Danio rerio: one gene and its partners. Each later gene encodes a partner of the first gene's protein in a complex. Links are inferred from orthologs where the notes say so. Each region holds a gene or a part of one and is shown in the gene's direction. Other genes may lie near its edges. The genes, in order: gtf2h5, gtf2e2, polr2k, gtf2f1 and gtf2a1.

Region 1 (4,192 bases):
AAACCTACAAGTAAGTGTGTTGAAGCAGGTTTGGAACTAAACTGTGCAGAGCAGCTCGGGGAATTGAGTTCGACACCCCTGGTTTATAATGATTGTTAGTTTTAGGTACCTGGTATCACGGTTTCCTCTTTTGCTCTTTCAGATCTGGGTATTGGAGACCTCATCCAGGTGGACGTTGATCACCTCAACATCTGCAAGCCAGAAAAGAAGGACACGTTTCTTTATAAGCGTACTTTACAGTTTATTCAGGATGCTCTTGGGGGACGTAGAATTAAGTGAAAGTCTTTACAGTTTCAATTGCTTTCTTAAGGATTTAAGCATCACTTTTTAAAAGATAGTGTTATCTATGACTGCCATGAAGGAAGGAAGTTTTACAATTGCAACTGGAGCTTTTTGGACATCTAAACTGTAATGTCCTGTACATTTGAAATACCACTGACATTTCACTTGTATTGTTATTATTATTTATGCTTGCCATATGAATATGTATTATGGTAAAATCCTTGTTTAACTTTTAATGTTTTACCCCTTCAAAGCCTTGTACTGTATATCATTTCAGAGTAATTTGAATGAGCACTTGTTAGCATTTATTTTAACTAGACATAACAAAAAAAAGGATTATCAAACTTAGTATGTTTACTACATCACTGCACATTTTTAAACTCAGTTTTATTTATAATATTTATTCTACTTGAACAAAATAGACATGCTAATGAAACCTTGCCTTGTTTTTTTTGGTTCACCAGCTTTCTTTCTACTACCTCAGACACACAAGTACTGATGTTGCTGTAATTGCCAATACATTTGTACTAATTCACTGACCACAGTACTTTATTTTGCCAAATCTTTGTCATGTGAATAAAGTTTTGAATCCAAACTTTCCTCTCCAAGAATAAACACTTTCACTGTAAAGCAGGGCAACACCGTGGCTTGTCCTGGATGGGTAAGTTGCCATTTCTGTATGGAGTTTGCATGTCCTCCCCGTGTTGGCATTGGGTTTCCGGGTGCTCCGGTTTCCCCAACAGTCCAAACTGCAAAGACATGCTCTATAGGTGAATAGTATATGAGTGTGAATGGATGTTTCCCAGTTAGGTTGCAGCTGGAAGAGTATCCGCTGTGTAAAACATATGCTGGAGAAGTGGGCCCTGATGAATAGAGGTACTAAGCCGAAGGGAAATGAACGAATGCACAGTAGCGGTATTGTAATGCAAATGAGTACTCTAATCTCTATGACACACTATTGTAACCGTTAAATAAAAAGGGATTAGTATTCGCAATTCAAAACAGATATGTCCCAAATAATCAAAGTCTTCAGGATTGCGAGAAACTTCCAGGTGGGTGTTGTACTTTTCTGTCAGGGTATGAGAGCAGTCAAATAGGATCTGAACTGCGCTCCAAGCCAGCAGAGGGTAGTGGAGTTGACTGGTCCAATACTAGTCGGTGAGTAGAGGAAAACCATTGTTTCTAAACGCTAAATAGTTTTCTGACACCAGTCACTGCAACAAAGTAAAGTGGCAAAAGACAATAAGAATGTTAGTGTGTATGTTTTAACGCTGTCTTTAAAGTATAGGTTTAAGAGCTGTAAACAAAATGTAAAATATTTGTAAGGACTAACGTCATTCATGGTGGACGGCTTTGTTGCTATTTCGTTTTCTCTCATACAGAGCTTTTACTGTACCTTTACTGAAGCAGCAGTAAGTTACGTTAGTGTTAACACACCCCGTCCAAAATGGTCAACGTGTTGAAAGGAGTTCTCGTTGAATGGTAAGTTTTACATACCACTGCCATTTAAAGCTGCACTGGTCATTTTACCTCAATACAACATTTAAACGAGAATCCAACGGTGGGTTTATTTAAGAAATGTGTTAAATCTAATGTGCTTACACACAATGTGGATTCATATCCGATTAGTAGAAAATAGGGCTGCACAATATATCGTTTCAGCATCGATATCGCAATGTGATCACAATGTTGAGTCTGGATTATAATTAATCATTTTGCTATAATGATTCGTTTTATTGACTTGTTTATAAAAAACAAAGACTATGCAGTATTATTTTACATCTGATTATTTAATTCATGTGTACCTGAATACATTTAGACTCTTCAGAAAGCAATAAAATGCTGTTTATTTAATTAGCAATTTTTTCTTTATTGAATTCATCTATGCTTGTAGGTTGCTTGTTATATGTTATGAATCATCCCAATCCGTCTAAAATTATAAATTATTTACAAACCGTTTTTTAACTAATCTGGTGAAATTGTATTCATATTGCAGTGTATATCACGGAATAAAAATTATTGCAATGTATATTTTTTCCAATATTGTGCAGCCCTAGTAGAAAAGTACTTTTATTTTACATTTTTACGCCACTAAAGCAATGTTGCTGAACAACTGTTCACTAACGTAAACGTTACTTGCGAGAATATAATTACAGTCGACAGATGGTTAACATTTATTCACTGTTAAACGGCAAAAATCAGTTCAAAGCATTTGAAAAATGTGGAGAAAATATTAAAAAGTCTTTATTCACATGGCTAATCTTTAAAAAACCTACGCGTTTCGGAAAAGAACAGTTCTTTGTTTTATAAAGGCAAAAAACTGTAGTTTTTTTATGTGAATAAAGGCTTTTTAAAATTTTTTCCATATTTTTCGAGTGCTTTGGATGGATTTTTGCTGTTCATTTTGATGAATCCCTTACCCAAAGAGCACCGATTATATAAGCTACCCCTGAGCACGTTTTGTTAGATTTTGGATTTATTCACTGTTACCTGTAACTAAAAACTTTTTCTTTACCACGAGGCAACATCCTTAGCACGGTATCGGATCAGTTAAACTTTCAAATTGTGCAGTATTTGTGAACTTAATTCTGTTTATTGTCACAATTTCGATGGTTTACTTCCTGAGAAGCAACTGAAAATAATTGAGGTAAAGTTATTTTTTTATATTTGTTCATTTTAAAGCTCTCTATATCGTTTACCACGCTAATTTGAATATGGGGTCTGAAATTTAATTTAAGTATGACTTCAAAACAACATTAGCACGATTTAACTGACAGTGAACAATGTTGTACTTTGATAGTTATTGGCTGCTTATATGATTTTCCTATTTAGAATTTGTAAAGAATACTTTTCTGAAATTATATTATAAGGAGAAAATCTGAATATGCAGGATATAAAACCCACTTTACCTCAATCTGAAAAAAGCCAGATGTCAATAACATCAAATACAGGCTTGACAAACCTCTATTCTTAGTGCACCTTTAAAATAAAAGTCATGCTCTAGTAGTAGTGCACCTTCATATATAATTCTCTCTCTTTTTTTTTTTAAATGTGACCCAGTGATCCAGCTATGAAGCAGTTTCTACTATATCTGGATGAGACGTCAGCTTTGGGGAAGAAATTCATCATCCAGGATTTGGACGACACGCATGTTTTCATCTTAGCTGAAGTTGTGCAGATTCTCCAGGAGCGAGTAGGAGAACTGATGGACCAGAATTCATTTCCCATCACCCAGAAATAAACATCTGAACCTTGACAGCAAGACCCTTCAGTCTGTGGGAGCAGATGGATGTGGAGATTCTTTCAGCACAATTGCACAAACACAGATGAAGCTGAAATATAGAGACGATGACTGCCTACAGGGATGATGATGTGTATTCTCTTTGGTTTAGTTTGACTGCAAAGTTCTTTTATCTGAAAAAAGTATAACTTTAAACTGTTTATGTTTTTAAAGACATATGTTTAAAAGACAGAGGCTGTCCTGTGTTTTGAAAGTATTGTTTTACATGCAAGATGGCATTGCCTACAAATAGTTATGTTTTACTGAAAGTATATGTCATACTGAATGCAGACGGGTGATGTCTGTGATTTAACTTCATGCATAATATGCTTAGTGTCAAATAAACAGAAGAATTCAACTAAAGTATTTAATGTGTTCTTATTCATTTGTCTCCTCAAAACATAGGATTTAATTTGATCTACTCTGTGGTATTGCCAGTTTGTGTAGGTTTAGGTTCCCTTCCTGTTTATGTTCTACAACACCAATACAAGCCTTCAATATTTGATCCTGAAACTGGTAAAAAGATTTTACCTTGTGGTGAAGGGAAAATTAAAAGAGTGAACTGCATTCGATTTGAAAAATATCCAGCATGTCTTAAAGAGGAAGTAAAAGTGGTGTGATGCACTCATG
Region 2 (4,232 bases), on another chromosome or scaffold:
TGATTTCCTCTGTAACAAATAATAGACTGTGAACCCAAAAGGGTCTATTAGATAAAAAATTATATGTATATATTATATTTATAATGGCTAATAATTCTGACTTTAACTAATATAAAATGAACCCGTGGATATATATCCATGCTTTTATGCTAAACAACCAAAATTGATGCAATGAACAAACTTTTTTATGTCAGTTAAACTACCTGGGAATTGAACCCATGACACTGGAATTGCTTAAAATAAGCTTGTTAGATAAATTTATTTGATTGATTTTCATATATTATATTAATACATTATACTTTTAAAGAAACCAAAAGTTAATGTTATACATTTATGCGCTTCTTGATATAATTACATATTCAATTTTAGTTTTTAAAGAGTTAAATTGTTGGAATGTGCTAGTTGCAGGAATAATGTGCTGACAAAAAGTTGAGTATATGATCAATTGAATTCTACCAAACAGATTGTTTTTTTTTTTTTTTTACAAGAATGAAAGACAATGATTCATCATCTGTTTGTATGCCTGTATAAAAACTGGCCCTGTAAGACTGCTCTCTGAGCAACCAGGATGGAACCTGTATTTCTTCTGTATTAGTCCCTTGCTGCAAGAACATCTAGGAAAATGAATCTTCCTGAGCCTTGTAATAATTTTTGACCCTGACAAGCTTGACTGTCATCGGAAATAATTTCCTTCTTACCTGGTTGGCTTGCTCAGTGAAGGACTCAGTCATTTTAACTGTAACATTGGCATTGGCTTCTTCATTGGCACTGAGATCAATAGAGGCAACCCACTGAAAACCACAAACACAAACATGTTCCTTATTGACATATTACAGGCCAGAAGAAATGCATGAATCGATATAGTTAATGAGAAACACATAACATTGTTTTGAGTAAATTAATTATTAATAGTACTACTAAAACACGTGAAGCGTGTCTGATGACACTGAAAGGGGGGGAAATAGTTATTTTCAATAATGTGTCTTGTCTTCTGGGTTTATACAACTTACCCAGTGTTTAGCTTTGAAATACTGCACACATGCCGAGCCCAGAGCTCCTTTTCCCCCGTAAACAATCACTTTCTGTGCATCTGTAGCTGCCATTCTGTCTTCACGAGCACGAGACCGTGTTATGCAAAGAAATCAGAACATGCGCCTCCTACTGGAAAAGATGAGAAGAGCACACATAATTGTATTAGGATGGGTTGCGTATGGGTATAAGCTTAAAATAGACTTACCTTTTTTTAAAAATAATGTTTTTCGAGATTAATGTTTGAAAATAATCCATTAATGCTAATAAATATAAATGGGAACATCGCAACACATGTAAAACGATTTCTGACCAGCAGGTGGCAAAGGTCGTCTTTGCAAACTGCGCGACTACAAACAAAGAAGAAGAACACTTGTCTTCCGGAGGAAATACATGTAGTTGTATAGCATAGCTAGCGTTCTATGACAAGCTTTTCATTTTGCTTTGTCAGTAAGCTGATTGCGTATGATAATTGGAAATAATATTTAACATTCCTCAAAACTCTTTCTCTCGGAGAGAGAAGGCAGTGACAGATTCAGGTAACGTAATGCTCACAGTTTCTTTCTTTGTGGATGTATTGCTTCATGTTTGATGTGTTTAGGATGTTTCCAGTTGATACCATTTGTGATTTTAGACGATTAGTTAAGTTTCTAGGTGTTAGATGTTCACTGTGCAGTTCACTATGGAAGTATTAGCTGTCAATAAGTAGGCTTATAAATCTCAGTATGTTAGACGAGGCTAAACCTCCAACTGACCTCATAGATCTCAACATGAGCAATGTGCTTTAATATCTAAGTTAAATATGAGGAATAAAATTAACATCTGTCTATATGTGTGTCTATAAATGAAACACCAAATGTCCTTAAAATCTTTGAAAAGTGTTACATTTATTAGTGGAGACTGAATTAATAGCAGCCCCTGTTATCTAAACATACATGGGGGGAAAACTGATCACATAATCATTTACTGTAATCTATAGAAGTTAATAATAGTAATGATTAAGAAATATAAGGAACATATCACGTGCTATAGAGGTAAAGTCGGTTTTTTATTCGCACATTCGGACTTCCTCCTTAATATAATTTCATAAAAGTACTATTTGCAAACTCTAAATAGCGAAATCATATTAGCAGCCAATGATTATCAAAGTACATGTTCACAGTCAAATAAACAGTGTTCAAGTTTTCAAATTACACTTGCAGTTTATTTCAGACTGAATATTCAAGGTGCCGTGGTAAACAATGTAGGGAGTGTGTCACAAATTGCCACTGAATGAATGTGTAAATATAAAACCAAGTTTACCTTAATATATATGCTGTGGCTATATAATATGTTCATTTAAAAGTTATTGTTTAATTGAGCACTCATTCGTGGTTTTGTTTTCTTAGGTTTCATCAGTGGTGGAAAGACTACTGAAAAAATATACTCAAGTAAAAGTATCATTACTTGACCAAAGAAATGTAGTGCAAGTAGAGTAAAAATATCTGTTGTAAATATTAAATATGAGTAAAAAGTAGTCCTTTTAAATGTCCTCAAGAGTAGTGAGTATTACGCTGTTAAAAGCTGATGTATTTACCGGTACATGTAATTTGTAAATGTGTGTGTGTGTGTGTGTGAGAAAACATAACATTCTGTAGTGCATTTAGTGACAGTTTAACCAGTTAAATTCCATGGAAAGTGGTTTTGTTTGAAAGTGTAGAAGCTATATTTTATGCACATATGCATCACTTTGGTTTTTATTCTACTGTAAAAAAGTTATTTACACTTAATATCATCTCAAAAACATAGCAAGAATCAGATGCTTTGTTTCTAGTGAAGACTTAGAGAAACTTGTTCATGCTTTTATCAGCAGCAGGGTGGATTACTGTAATGGACTCCTCACTGGTCTTCCTAAAAAGACAGTCAGACAGTTGCAGCTCATCCAGAACGCTGCAGCCAGAATTCTAACCAGAACCAGGAAATCAGAGCACATCACACCTGTCCTCAGGTCTCTACACTGGCTGCCAGTTACATTCAGAATAGAGTTTAAAGTATTATTACTGGTCTATAAATCACTAAATGGCCTAGGACCTAAATACATCACAGATATGCTCACTGAATACAAACCTAACAGATCACTCAGATCATTAGGATCATATAAACTAGAAGTTCCAAGAGTTCAGTCAAAGCAGGGTGAATCGGCTTTTAGCCACTATGCCCCTCGCTGCTGGAATCAGCTTCCAGAAATGATCAGATGTGCTCCAACATTAGGCACATTCAAATCAAGACTGAAAACACATCTGTTTAGCTGTGCCTTTACTGAATGAGCACTGTGCTGCGTCCGACAGATTGCACTGTCGGACACAGATCATGTTTTTCTCTTCTTCTTCATTCTTTTATATCACATTTTACCTGTTTTTATGTTTTTTAATCAGTTTTATTATTTGTTTTTATTTTTATTTTTATTTTACTTGTTTCTTTTATTCTTGTTTATGTAAAGCACTTTGAATTGCCATTGTGTATGAAATGTGCTATATAAATAAACTTGCCTTGCCTTAAACATTGGTTCAATTTCATATTTTTCACAAGATTCATATATGACACAGGTACAAGTTATAGCTCAAATTAAATCTCTTGTCCGTGCTCATGAGGTTATAGCGTTCTTTTTAGTGAATTATATTCACATCAAACAGTTTTCGAATAAATCGCGGTATTTCCATGGCCCAGAAGTGAAAACAATACATTCATGATCAATAAGCAGCTCCAGATAGCACAGACAGCGGTCATCTCTTACCTTATGCTTTTTAGGGCCTTTCTCCTCTGTTTTTGAGGTGATGTGCATAAGTAATCCTTTTATATGTCCGACGTGGTCCAAACACAGTGAATTATGTTTGATCAAACAGAAGAATAGAGAAATATGAATACAATGATCGATCCCTGTGGCTTGTATAGCACCTCTCATCAGTTGGAATACAATAACTTTTTCATAGATTATGGTAAAGAGAGACATTTTTCTTTTTTTCCATGATTACAGACATGTGCAGGAACCACCAAAATTAATTTACTGCAACCTAGACCACACAGAACCTAAAAGGTACACTTTCAAATTTGAGTTTATAAAAAAAATACAAAAAGCAAATTTTTTTTTTTTTTTAGGTGTTTATTATAACACAGAAAACATTTATTACAGTTATTTTAAACACTTTTAAAGTGTTTCCTTTAAA
Region 3 (4,062 bases), on another chromosome or scaffold:
AATGTACAAAAGCGCTGCTAATAGGAAGTCTTATTTGTTGTTTATTATCTATTGTATAACTGTAATGTTACTGACGGAACCATTTTGATTACAATACAATCATTCTAGACATTCAACATAAAAACAAAACATGAATATCTTTCTGAGATGTCTTTTGGGGATAGTTTCTGAATATTGCTGCCCTCAATAGTTACAATGCATACACCTGTTGATAACTATGGAATATTAAATAATTTAAATATGTTATTACATTTCATAAACCGTTTTAATTACTTGTGCTTACACTTGATTTAGTTATTAATGGCCAACATGTGTCCTGTGGATTTGAATTACCTTCAAATGCAAAGTATATCTATCTTTTGCTCTAAAAATGAACATTAGTTTTAAAAAATCATAATAATATTTAAGGAATTAGCAGTATTTCAGTATTATTGAAACAGTAACAAAACATTTCAGTATATCAAAAAGATAAACAGCTATCAATAATTAGTAACTCTATTAATATGAATAAATGACAATTGGCTGGATCAGCTTGTTCTGACATATACCTTCGTTATAAACACATTATAAATGGGAATGTTGATATGTATTAAACACATTGCCGAGAAACAGAAACTGAAAGGGTGAGGCGGGATTACGACTGCCAGTAAAAAAAAAACACATTACAAACATAAATACTAACAGTGTACAGACTATCTGGTTATACCTATAAAACATATAATAGTATATAATACTGACAGTAAAGTTTTGCAAACTTACCCGAGAGCTGAACGTTTAACGTTACTGGCAGTTTTTGCAGCTGCGACTCACTAACGTTACTTCCTGCTCTGAGACCGTCAACAACACCGACAAATCAAGTGACAATGTACGAAACACATTTCACTCATACAAAAAATCAAATAATAATTATTCATTAATAATAACACATTTCTGTTAGTAAATAAATGTGTTTAGACTGTTTCACAATTTCAGGACAGGTTTAATAACAGCGTTACACATGAATTAATATAAACCATTAGCGTTAAACAAAAAAGTACACAAATAATACGTCTTCATGGTTACGTACGTCTGTCACTAAATGAATGTTTAAAAACGTCGCCGCGAAGTTTTTCTCCGCCATCTGAAATTGCTGGCAGTAATAAAATAAAAGTCCCAGATGAACCTGTAAGTCTCTGCGTAAAATGGTAATGTCCTCCCTCCTGGCGGCGTATGACGAGATTGGTTCAATTCTTGCCAACCAATAGCATTGTTCGTTACTGTGATGTGATGTCGCTTGTGCGCATGCGTGAACGAAAAACGTTTCGAAGCAAACAGAGAGCTCACGCGTGAAAGGTAGCTAATGCTTTGAATGTTTACATTTCGTACTCGTTTGTACACTGATAAATGACAGGATGAATGATATGTGCGGGGTTTTATTGCAATTTTAATATGATGAATTACGTGTCTTGTTGGGTTTATAATGGAAGAACGTGTTTGTGCATAGTGCAGCATCTCTTAAATGTGCTCTTACGATAGGTTTAGGTCAAATAATGTGTAATATTCTAATGAATTTATTCAATTTAGACTATATAATCATGTTTGTGTGTTTGCTTTAAGCCATGGATTCTCAGAAAGACATTCAGCCCCCCAAACAACAGCCAATGATCTACATTTGTGGAGGTGATTGCTCTTTTGATTGTATTTATGTTTATAATCTATATGTATATTGATCTATTAGAAGGTTTATGTATTGATTATATTTTTGTAATCAGTCATTTCTTTCTTAATGCTAAACAATCAAGATGTTCACAATCTAGTCTGTTTTTGAGCTTGAAATTTTGTGTGTGTGTGTGTGTGTGTGTGTGTGTTTGTTTCAGAGTGTCACACAGAAAACGAGATCAAGGCCAGAGACCCCATCAGATGCAGAGAGTGTGGTTACAGGATCATGTACAAAAAGAGGACCAAAAGATGTATCCTTTATCAACTAAACCAATGCTTTGTGGTAGGCCTGGTTGATACGACAAAAAAAGTTGATTAAATTAATTTCACGCTATAATCCTCTCATTTGCTAATAATGAGATATGTCATGATATAGTAACTAGGGATACAACAATACAGTTAGCCTTAGTAAGAGGTTAAGGAGAAAAAACTTATTGCAATACTTCTTTATTTTACTTGATAGCCAAGAAAAGTACACTAGTTTGTAGTTTAATGTATAATAAAAGTAAATTAACTGAAATCTCACAGCTGCTGGTAGCTTATGTACAAACTGGGGAACACGTATATTCCTACATTTTGAAAATACACATACATGTGAAAAATAATTTCAAATAAACATATTTGATGTAATTTTAAGCTCTGGATGTTTATTAGTTTTACATTTTCTAAATGCATATTGTGTCACTGTTTTGGAGCACACTAGCTAATAGGATTGGGCGATGTTGACCAATTTGCCATCATATGATGTATAATGTGAAACAAAGTAATGGACGATAACATCGTTATTGTAGGCGTCAGTGAATTAATTATTAATTCATAACGGATTAATTATTTGTAGCCCATGTTTCAACTACCTGACCCACAAGGTCTTTGTTTTACCCATAACCAAATCAAAAATAAATAAAGTTGCACACAAATTACCACCTTTCAATCACTTTTTCCATTGGACTCTGGCATGAATAGGCCAATAGAGTGATCTGTGTCTTTACAATGACATTGACAAACTTGGTTGGGAAAAAAAGGTGCACAACCAACCAACTGTATCTGAGGTTTTCACTAAAATTACTAAGTATAAGCATGAAAGCGAAACACCGAAGCAGTGTACTGATGCTGTGACACATTACCTGATAGATTCAAAAGACCAAAATGTCTGAAGCTCTGATACGAATGTATACTGCAGGCATAACAGTGTGCATTTTCATCGATATCGAGTGGAAGGAAGGCTTTTCAGAAATGCTAGATGAAACGCCTGTGTGGACGTAGGTCGCTTTTGTTCTAAAATGCCATTTTAAAACTAAGATGTATTAAGGCTGATTTATACTTCTGGGTCAAACACCGGCGTATGCTACGGCGCTGACGCATAGCCCTTCGCCGTGGCCATCGCCGTCACTGACGTGCACCTCTCAAAAAATGTAACTACACATCGCAACAACGCGTAGCGCAAGCTCTGTGATTGGTCGGCTTGGTAGCGCTGACGAGTCTGGGCGGGACCGAGAGCTGCGCGAATGGCGCGACGCCGCGCGAGCGATTGTTTACAAGTGTGGAGTCCCGTGATGGAGCTCCGGATGGAAAGTTTTGTTTTGTGTTTACCTTATAGTTAAAGTTGTTGCACGTCCGCCGGTTCCTGCCTTAAAATGAGCGAGTTTGAGCCACTTGTACATCCCAGAAGTGTTCAGGAAATGCAAAAAAGTAGCGAAGAAACTCAACACAGAGGAACATTTACACCTCACTGCCAACTAGCGTTTCGGAAGTGTTAATGCAAACCGACAGAGACAGCGCGCAGAAGTATAAATGCACAGCCACGCGCGTTGCCTGCGCCGTGGGTTACGCCGGTCACCTGACGCAGAAGTATGAATCAGGCTTTAGTGTAAACGGGGCCTAAGTGTGTATTTTTCACAAACGGATTGCTGCTACGGTGGGGTGGAGGTTAGCGATGCCAGCTCAGCATCGATATGTCTATCGACGATGGCTTCGTCCATCGACCCAACCCTACTAGCTAATAGATATCCTTAAAACTAACATCTAAAAAAAAGTTTAGTTTGAGTTTCACAGGACCTTTAAAAAAAGGCAAACTAATGAAACTGGCCTAGAGAAAATTAAAGGGCGCCAACCTCAGTATATTGACCACATCTCAAGCACTATTTGTTTTTGTTCTTTACATTTTAAAGTATATACTCAGAAATGCGCTCATTCATGTGTGAACATATTTCTTACTTCATTTAGAACTTCAAAGCAAATGTTTTTAGTAAAGATGTAGAAATATGAATAAATTCTTAATAAAATAAAAACACACTTTAAATACCAAATGATTACAACGATTAATCCAACATAATGTAAAAAATATTGCTAAATAAAATGCCAAAT
Region 4 (4,181 bases), on another chromosome or scaffold:
AGTGAAGTAGTGTGGAGCTAAGCAGAGTTGTCCGGCTGATATTCATTTACAAATCTATACAAAACACCACACATGGGTGCCCCAATACTACAGGAGCACTCGGGGAGTCAATTAAGTATAAATTAATATCCTCACGGGGATTTCCAGAAATAATTAAACTTACAGAAGGAGTAGAATGGGTGATGGAGGTGATGGTAAGACCATTCAGGGAGCGGACAGTGATAGGAGAGGAATGAGGGATAGCAAGAATGCCCCAGGACTCATTGGTGGTGCTGTCTAAAAAGTTGCCCTCGGCTCTGGAGTCGATCATGGCAGAGCACGAATGGACGACATCTCCACATTGTAGAGAGGCTGGCAGTGAGGTATGATATGTGTGGGTGTCAGAGCAAGGGATTGTGCCCACCAGAATCCCCCATACTACTGGTGTCGGGGCTTTTAACGGGCACTGGACAGCCTGATGACCTGGTTTCCCACAGTACAGGCACAAGCCCCTAACCAACCAATGTCATTTCTCCTGTGCGGTTAGTTGCAGATGCCCCACCTGCATCGGCTCCTGATCAGGAATGGGTAGAGGAGTGTGGAGCAAGCTTGAAAAACCCTCCTCAGCCCTCCAGGAGGAATGGGTCGCCCGCCGATGTTGACGGCGAAGGAGGCGGCCCTCAACAAGAAGAGCAAGGTCAACCAGGGCGTCGAAGTCATGTGGGTGATCGTGGGTGGCGATTTTGTCCTGGATCTAATCATCCAGACCATCCCAAAACCTCGCTCGAAGAGCTGTTTCATTCCAAGCGCAGGCCGCTGCTAGGCTCCTGAATTGAACGGAGTAGTCGGTCACTGAACACCCGTTCTGGCTTAGCTGGGCCAAAAGAGAATCTGCCTCATCCCCCTGAGCTGACCGATCAAACAGCTTGGTCATTTCATCACGGAAGTCATCAAAAATGGCACAAAAGGGGGCCTGTGTATCCCACACAGCGGTGGCCCAGTCTCGAGCCCTGCCCTTAAGAAGGGTAATAACAAATGCCACTCTGGACTCCTCAGTGGCGTAACGGCGTGGCTAAAGAGCAAAGACCAGCGAACTCTGAGACAAGAAAGACAGACAGGAGCTGTGGTCCCCGTCAAATGGTGGTGGACAATTACCGTGCGGCTCATGATCCAGGTGGAGAGGAAAGGCTGCCTGCCTACCAGCTCTGATATTTAGCTGTAGGTCCTGGACTAGAGCATTGAGTGCCGCAACCTGAGCCGTCAGAAACTCAACTTCTTGAGAAGTGGCAGTTAATTGAGTTTGCCTGTTGTCCTCGAAGAATGCCCTGCTGGGTCACTGCGTTTCTCACTTGATCGAACTCATGGAAATGGCGAGTCTCCAGGCCTCGTGTGCAGAGAAGCAGGAAGCTGAGTAGATGCCGGTGGGCGGATGTCGGCAGGCGGTGGAGTCCGAGTGCCACAAACAATGACACCAATAGGAGTGAGCTAGCAAAACACGCAAGACTGTCTGACAAAGACAAGTAGGTAAGCGGGAATTAAATAGAGGAGAAAATCAAGGAGCTACAGGTGACAATAATTGCTAAATAAGGGAATAACTAGTATAACAAGGAGGCGGGGAAAAGGATATGCTGATAGCGGAGCACATGGTGAACTATCAAAACAAAGAGCATGTGAATGCTTCATGTGCATCCGTGAGGAAACATGAAGGCGACAAGCAAGACAACAAATCACAAACAGGTAGGTCTAGACACACTCTTCACGGTTACGGGCCCATTGTACAGTCAGTTATAGTGTGCATCCAGAGACCTTGCATCAATCAATCAATCAATCAATAAATCAATAAATCAATCAATCAATCTATCAATCAATCAATCAATCAATCAATCATTTCCTTGAATTTAATTGAATTATCCACTTCTGGAATATATCTTGCTGTCTGTTCACCCCAGGTAAAAGCCTATAGTTAGGATCAGGGTGTGTCCTGTAAGGTAGTGGTGGGTGGGACACAGGACACATTCTAAGTTGCCAAAAAAATGCAAAATAGTTTTAAAGTGCTTTTGCTTAACTATGGAATAAATTAAAACACGTGGCTGATTGGCCTTTGTGTCTATTCGCTTCCTAGCTAGGGTGAAACACTCTGGGTGGAACTGACCAGTTACAGACACTATAACAGTCTGTTATAGTGTGTCTCCGGTATCGCCTCATTACAGCTAACATGATCCCGCCTCTCATTGAGCGCGGTGTTTATATGGAGATGAACTGAGGTGAGCCAGGTAATATTTTACACACCGACAAGCTTCCTCATAGAGTTACTTACTTTTTCTGCGCTTTTGAGCGATGGCACGCTACACGAGTGAAGAAGCACTTTTGATGGTACTAGACAGCAACGAAGAATTTACGTTCTCCTCAGAAGAAGAGCATGACTCTGACGAATGCATACATTTTGAAGAACATATAGACCCAGTGGAGGATAGAATCCCTGTGGAGTAAGTCTTTTAATTCTTACCTTCATGATTTACATGAAACATGTCTTTACAGGCTACTTATAATTTTATTGCTGTACAAATTGTATCCTATAACATATATAGCATATAATGATAAACATAGGCCTATGTAAAAAAAATGTATGTTATATGAAATATGCTAAGCTTGTGAAAATACTGACAGTTATTTACAAAACAGGTGCTGTTTAGTTGATCATTCATATGTGGTAACGAGTTTATTAGGTAAATTAGTACTAGTATTAGTAAACATCACAAAGATGTTAACAATGTAGTTCATGTAATCAGCTTGCTTAATTTTTCTAGATGTGAAAACAACAGCGGTAAAGAACCAGTAACAAGGAAAGCTAAAGCAAATAAGCTGCCTACTCAGTCATTGAAAAACGAGACTGATGCTGCATGGCTCCACAGGCTCTGAGATTCCTTCCTGTACATGATCCTGGACCACAGCTAAGACCATGTGATGCTCTCACTGGCCATTTACAAACTTTACACCCTTTATTATCTTACACTTTATATTTACATTGTTGATTTTGCCCTGAATGTGTCTTCTGTACATAATGTTTCATGTGTAAAGTCAAGTGCATGACTTAAGTTATATATAAAGTGTATTTATAAGTAACTTTTTCAGTAGATTTGCTAAATGTAAGTTTACAGAGTTTTATACAAGGAACTGACTCTCACAAGTGTATCTCCAGTTATTCTGTGTGATTAATAAAAATATTTTAAATAAACTGCAAACAAAAATTGTTTTATAAACTTATTTTTTTCCACAGATTCTTTCTTGAAACTCTTTCCTCTTAGTCACATACCTGTCTGATGGCTTATTATGCAGCTCATTATGCAGGTCTTTGTCTTCTCAGGTGTAAATCACTGCCTTAGTAATGATAGTTCACTCCTTCTTACATAAACCATTTTCACTCAAAAAGTGACTTAGAAAATTTTATTCAATAAATTGTTGTCTGTGAGTAAATAAACAAAATGATTTTCACAAGATCCAATTCTCAGAAGTCTTGTAAACAAATGTTCTTTAAGTGTTTCACAGCCTTGTTTTGGTGAATTTAAAATTTTAGTTGTGCACTTTGGCCTTTTGAAATATATGGGACCTAGAGTTAGGATTAGGGTGTGTCCTGTAAGGTAGTGTTGGGTGGGACACAGGGCACATCCTAAGTTGCCAAAAACATTGCAAAATACATTTTTTAAGCGTTTTGCTTTACTATGAAATAAAGTAAAACCCGTGGCTGATTGGCCTTTATGTCTATTCGGTTCCTAGCTAGGGTGAAACACTTTGGGTGGAACTGACCAGTTACGGGCCCATTGCACAGTCTGTTACAGTGTGCATCCAGAGACCTTGCATCAATTAATCAATCAACTTTTCTTTATAGCACCTTATTACAAATATCCCCTGATGTCCTTACCTTAGCCATCTTCACCTTAAAGAATCCCCCATCCTCCCTGACTTCTTTCCTTCTTTCCTAGCTTAATTTAAGGGAGTTCTTGAGACGTATCTGAGCTCAGAATCCACTTTCTCTCCATTAAACAAGAGTTTCAAGGACCTTCAGGGCTACCCCCCAGGAGAGCATGCCAAACATGCATTTAACTTTTCAAACAATTCTTGAGTTTGGAAAAATTTTTAACACGCTTAAGATAGTAGGAATACAATCTAAATGAGTGTCAATAAATCAACAGAACAATAAGACA
Region 5 (3,513 bases), about 11 Mb from region 1:
TTGTTTTCCATACTATAGAAGTCAATGAATAGAGGTCTTCAACATTCTGTCCAACATGCCTTCCTTTTCCTTCCATCTTTAACTGCATGTTAACACTATAAATACAGATTTGTCCTAACAAAAGCATGTGTCTGGTGGCTTTACAGGTCAGATCCTGCAGGTGGTCAGAGCTGCCAATGGAGCTCAGTACATCATTCAGCCTCAGCAGCAGATGCTTTTACAGCAGCAGGTTCTGCCGCAGATGCAGCCTGGGGGTGTTCAGGCCCCCGTCATACAGCAGGTCTGTGCTTTATTCTGCACAAACACTACACTCACTTTCTCATCAATCTTTGACTTGCTCAACACAGGCTCCTTGGAAATGAAAGTTTTATCCTTCATTTTTGAGAAACCACAAAAATGTCCTCAAACATCCGTTTGATCAAAAATTCTTGGTGACAAGATCACTACAGGGCAGTAAGACTGCAAAAACTTTACTTCCTTTTCACCCTAATGGTATTTATGGACCGATTGTCAGTGAATAAAGGATTACTTGTATGCATTTTTTGCACACACCAAATAAATACCACAAAGCCACTTAATGTCTATGATTTTAATAATCAAAAATGTTTGCCTCGCCTGTTTAACTATATGTATAAAACTTTTCTGGTGTGGTCAGTTTGCTTGGAAACTCACTTTGTACAGTAGTGTATGCAAGGAGTTCTGTAAAGCACTGTTTCACAAAAAAGATTAGAGCGATGTAAAATCAAGGCAAACGGCACTTATTCTTACATTTACTTTTGACAAATAAAGGATTAAAGCAATGTAAAATCAAGGTAAACATCTCTTATTGCTCTGCTTTTGACAAATAAAAGATTAAAACAATGTAAAATTAAGGTAAGCATCACTTATTGTTATTACACTTTTGACAAAAAAATATTAAAGCAATGCAAAATCAAGGTAACCAGCACTTATTTTTATTACACTTTTGTAAAAGAATAAAGCAATGTAAAATCAAGGTAAACATCACTTATTGCTCTACTTTTGACAAATAAAAGATTAAAGTAATATAAAATCAAGATAAATAGCACTTATTTTTTCACCTTTGACAAAGATTAAAGCAATGTAAAATCAAGGTAAACAGCACTTATTGTTATTACACATGACAAATAAAGATTAAAGCAATGCAAAATCAAGGTAAACAGCACTTATTTTTATTACACTTTTGACAGAATAAAGCAATGTAAAATCAAGGTAAAACAGCACTTGTTGTTCTTACATTTACTTTTGAAACTATTATCTAGGATTAGGGAGGAGTTTAGGTTAGTGTTATTTAAGAAAGATGTTTAACTGAAATGTACAACAAAACGGGCCCTAATTAATGTCTATCTGATTCCCCAAAGTGTAGACAGCGCCCTCTAGTGTATTTGTCATCTGAAACGTGCAATGAAATGTATGCAGAGCAACAACGTTTGTTTGGCAGGAATGTAGGCTAAGGCACATATTTCTAATGAGCCTGTGCTGTACTCACTTCTAGTTCAGTCACTGGAGGCTGCAGGGTTTACTGTGACAGCATGTGACCAGTGGGGTTTTGTTTCCCCGTGTCAGCAGTGGTCTTTAGCTAGCCAATGTTATATGCCTGTCAGCTCTCTTAGTCGGTTTGAAAAAGGAAATAACAGAAATAATAGTGAATGCTTCGCAGGAGGAGAACCGATGTAGAGAAGAGACAACTAGTCTTACTTTGTTTAATAAAGATCTGATACACTATTCACTATTGATACAACATTCTAATAAATTTTTTATAAATTCTAACAATAAACTGTTAGTTAATAAAAAGCAATGTTTTCTAGTCATTTTTAAATATTAATAAATAAATTAGGAATTTACTCATGACAACTATATTTACCTTCGACCCACTAGCCCAGAGGTGTCAAACTCAATTCCTGGAAGGCCGAAGCCCTGCACAGTTTAGTTCCAACCCTGTTACAACACGCTTACCTGTAGGTTTCAAACAAGCCTGAAGGACTCAATTAGTTTGATCAGGTGTGTTTAATTAGGGTTGGAACTAAACTGTGCAGAGCTGCGGCCCTTTTGGAACTGAGTTTGACACCTGTGCACTAGCCTCACTCAAATTAGCCTTTTTTGCCCTACATTAGAAAAAGGTTTGGGCACCCTTGCTTTAGACGATGACAATTAGTCAATAACAAATGCTTTTATTTGTTATGCTTGAAACTTGGGGGTTTTTCCACCAAATATGATAGCAAAATATGTTGTTTAAAAATGATTAATGTATATAACTTCTGAAAACACTGCATGTTTTATTTATTAGGGTGGGGTATGCAGTAAAGAACATTATTTTAAATCTGTACGAAATGCCATCAGTAGTTTAAAGAATTAAAAAAGAAATACTCCATATTTAAACAAAACTTAAAGCTATATTTTTACCAAAATGTAAATGATCAATTTATTCACCCTCTGCTTGTTCATGAGCTTCTTTCTTCTGTTAAAACACAAAAGAAGATATTTTGAAGAATGCTGAAAACCTGTAACCATCGACTTCAATAGAATGTTTTTCCTACTATGGAAGTCAGTTTTTCATCATTCTTCAAAATATCAGCCGAAACTCAAAGGTTTGGAACCACTTGTGTATTAGTAAATATTGAGCAAAGTTACATTTTTGAGTGAACTGTCCGTTTAAAGGCATAAATCAGAGAAACAAAGTATTTCAAGTGGTCTTTTAGTTTAAATGATTAGACTTGTTCTCCTACACCTCGGTTTATGAGAACAGGAGTGTATTAAGTGTCTCTCTCTCTGTGTATTGATGCAGGTGTTGACTCCTCTTCAAGGAGGTCTTCCTCAGCAAACCGGAGTCATCATCCAGCCGCAGCAGATCGTCCTCACGGGGAATAAAGTACCGCAGAACACTCAGGTCAGCACAAGCTCTCACCTTAAACTAAAATCTCTGTGATGTCTGTGAAATTGATGTCTCACAAATACATTTCATTGAACATGTACACAGGCATCACCTATATCCTATATAACTGCGGTTTAGATATATAATAATTAACAGGTTTATAATATAATAAGTTTCACTGTTAAAAGCTTTTAGTTACTAATCAATTAGTGATTAGTAACTTATAAGGTAACTAATAACCTTTATTTTTCTGACTGTAATGCAGTAATGTACACCTTTTGCGAAGCTGCTTTGAAAAAATATTATTGTGAATGTCGCTATACAAATCAACTTCAATTTGAATTGAATCGTGTGTGCTTGTTTAGGTCATGCAGGCGGCAGCGATGGCAGTGCAGTCGGGACCGGGAGATGCACAGGTGCAAACTCAACCACAAGCGCAGCAGCAACAACAACAACAGCAGCAGCAGGCCTCGCAACAACCTCCTATGATGCTCCAGGTAGACGGCGCAGGAGACACGTCCTCAGAGGAGGATGAAGAGGAGGAGGACGAGTATGATGAAGATGAGGATGAAGACAAGGAGAAAGACGGCGGAGAGGACGGCCAAGTGGAGGAGGTGTGAATA

What was found.
Region 2: gtf2h5 (region 1) and gtf2e2 share a complex: the UniProt entries of both Homo sapiens proteins name them as parts of the TBP-based Pol II pre-initiation complex. The link is inferred for Danio rerio from reciprocal best matches to the Homo sapiens genes GTF2H5 and GTF2E2.
Region 3: gtf2h5 (region 1) and polr2k share a complex: the UniProt entries of both Homo sapiens proteins name them as parts of the TBP-based Pol II pre-initiation complex. The link is inferred for Danio rerio from reciprocal best matches to the Homo sapiens genes GTF2H5 and POLR2K.
Region 4: gtf2h5 (region 1) and gtf2f1 share a complex: the UniProt entries of both Homo sapiens proteins name them as parts of the TBP-based Pol II pre-initiation complex. The link is inferred for Danio rerio from reciprocal best matches to the Homo sapiens genes GTF2H5 and GTF2F1.
Region 5: gtf2h5 (region 1) and gtf2a1 share a complex: the UniProt entries of both Homo sapiens proteins name them as parts of the TBP-based Pol II pre-initiation complex. The link is inferred for Danio rerio from reciprocal best matches to the Homo sapiens genes GTF2H5 and GTF2A1.

What each region holds. Positions count from the first base shown.
Region 1 is NC_133195.1:28,728,756-28,732,947, reverse strand, and holds gtf2h5 (general transcription factor IIH subunit 5), read left to right. Parts: upstream 1-1,388; 5' UTR 1,389-1,506; exon of another isoform or gene 1,507-1,532; intron 1,533-1,664; 5' UTR 1,665-1,729; coding exon 1,730-1,764; intron 1,765-3,342; coding exon 3,343-3,523; 3' UTR 3,524-3,928; downstream 3,929-4,192. Other genes in the region: protein SERAC1, read left to right, coding at 143-279. UniProt on the Homo sapiens protein: Component of the general transcription and DNA repair factor IIH (TFIIH) core complex, which is involved in general and transcription-coupled nucleotide excision repair (NER) of damaged DNA and, when complexed to CAK, in RNA transcription by RNA polymerase II.
Region 2 is NC_133176.1:24,433,559-24,437,790, forward strand, and holds the start of gtf2e2 (transcription initiation factor IIE subunit beta), read left to right. Parts: upstream 1-1,427; 5' UTR 1,428-1,568; intron 1,569-4,232. UniProt on the Homo sapiens protein: Recruits TFIIH to the initiation complex and stimulates the RNA polymerase II C-terminal domain kinase and DNA-dependent ATPase activities of TFIIH. Both TFIIH and TFIIE are required for promoter clearance by RNA polymerase.
Region 3 is NC_133194.1:13,081,117-13,085,178, forward strand, and holds the start of polr2k (DNA-directed RNA polymerases I, II, and III subunit RPABC4), read left to right. Parts: upstream 1-1,252; 5' UTR 1,253-1,332; intron 1,333-1,596; 5' UTR 1,597-1,598; coding exon 1,599-1,659; intron 1,660-1,856; coding exon 1,857-1,949; intron 1,950-4,062. UniProt on the Homo sapiens protein: DNA-dependent RNA polymerase catalyzes the transcription of DNA into RNA using the four ribonucleoside triphosphates as substrates.
Region 4 is NC_133178.1:32,768,059-32,772,239, reverse strand, and holds the start of gtf2f1 (general transcription factor IIF subunit 1), read left to right. Parts: upstream 1-1,370; 5' UTR 1,371-1,680; coding exon 1,681-1,716; intron 1,717-4,181. UniProt on the Homo sapiens protein: TFIIF is a general transcription initiation factor that binds to RNA polymerase II and helps to recruit it to the initiation complex in collaboration with TFIIB. It promotes transcription elongation.
Region 5 is NC_133195.1:17,666,254-17,669,766, reverse strand, and holds part of gtf2a1 (transcription initiation factor IIA subunit 1), read left to right. Parts: intron 1-146; coding exon 147-280; intron 281-2,803; coding exon 2,804-2,905; intron 2,906-3,255; coding exon 3,256-3,504; intron 3,505-3,513. UniProt on the Homo sapiens protein: TFIIA is a component of the transcription machinery of RNA polymerase II and plays an important role in transcriptional activation. TFIIA in a complex with TBP mediates transcriptional activity.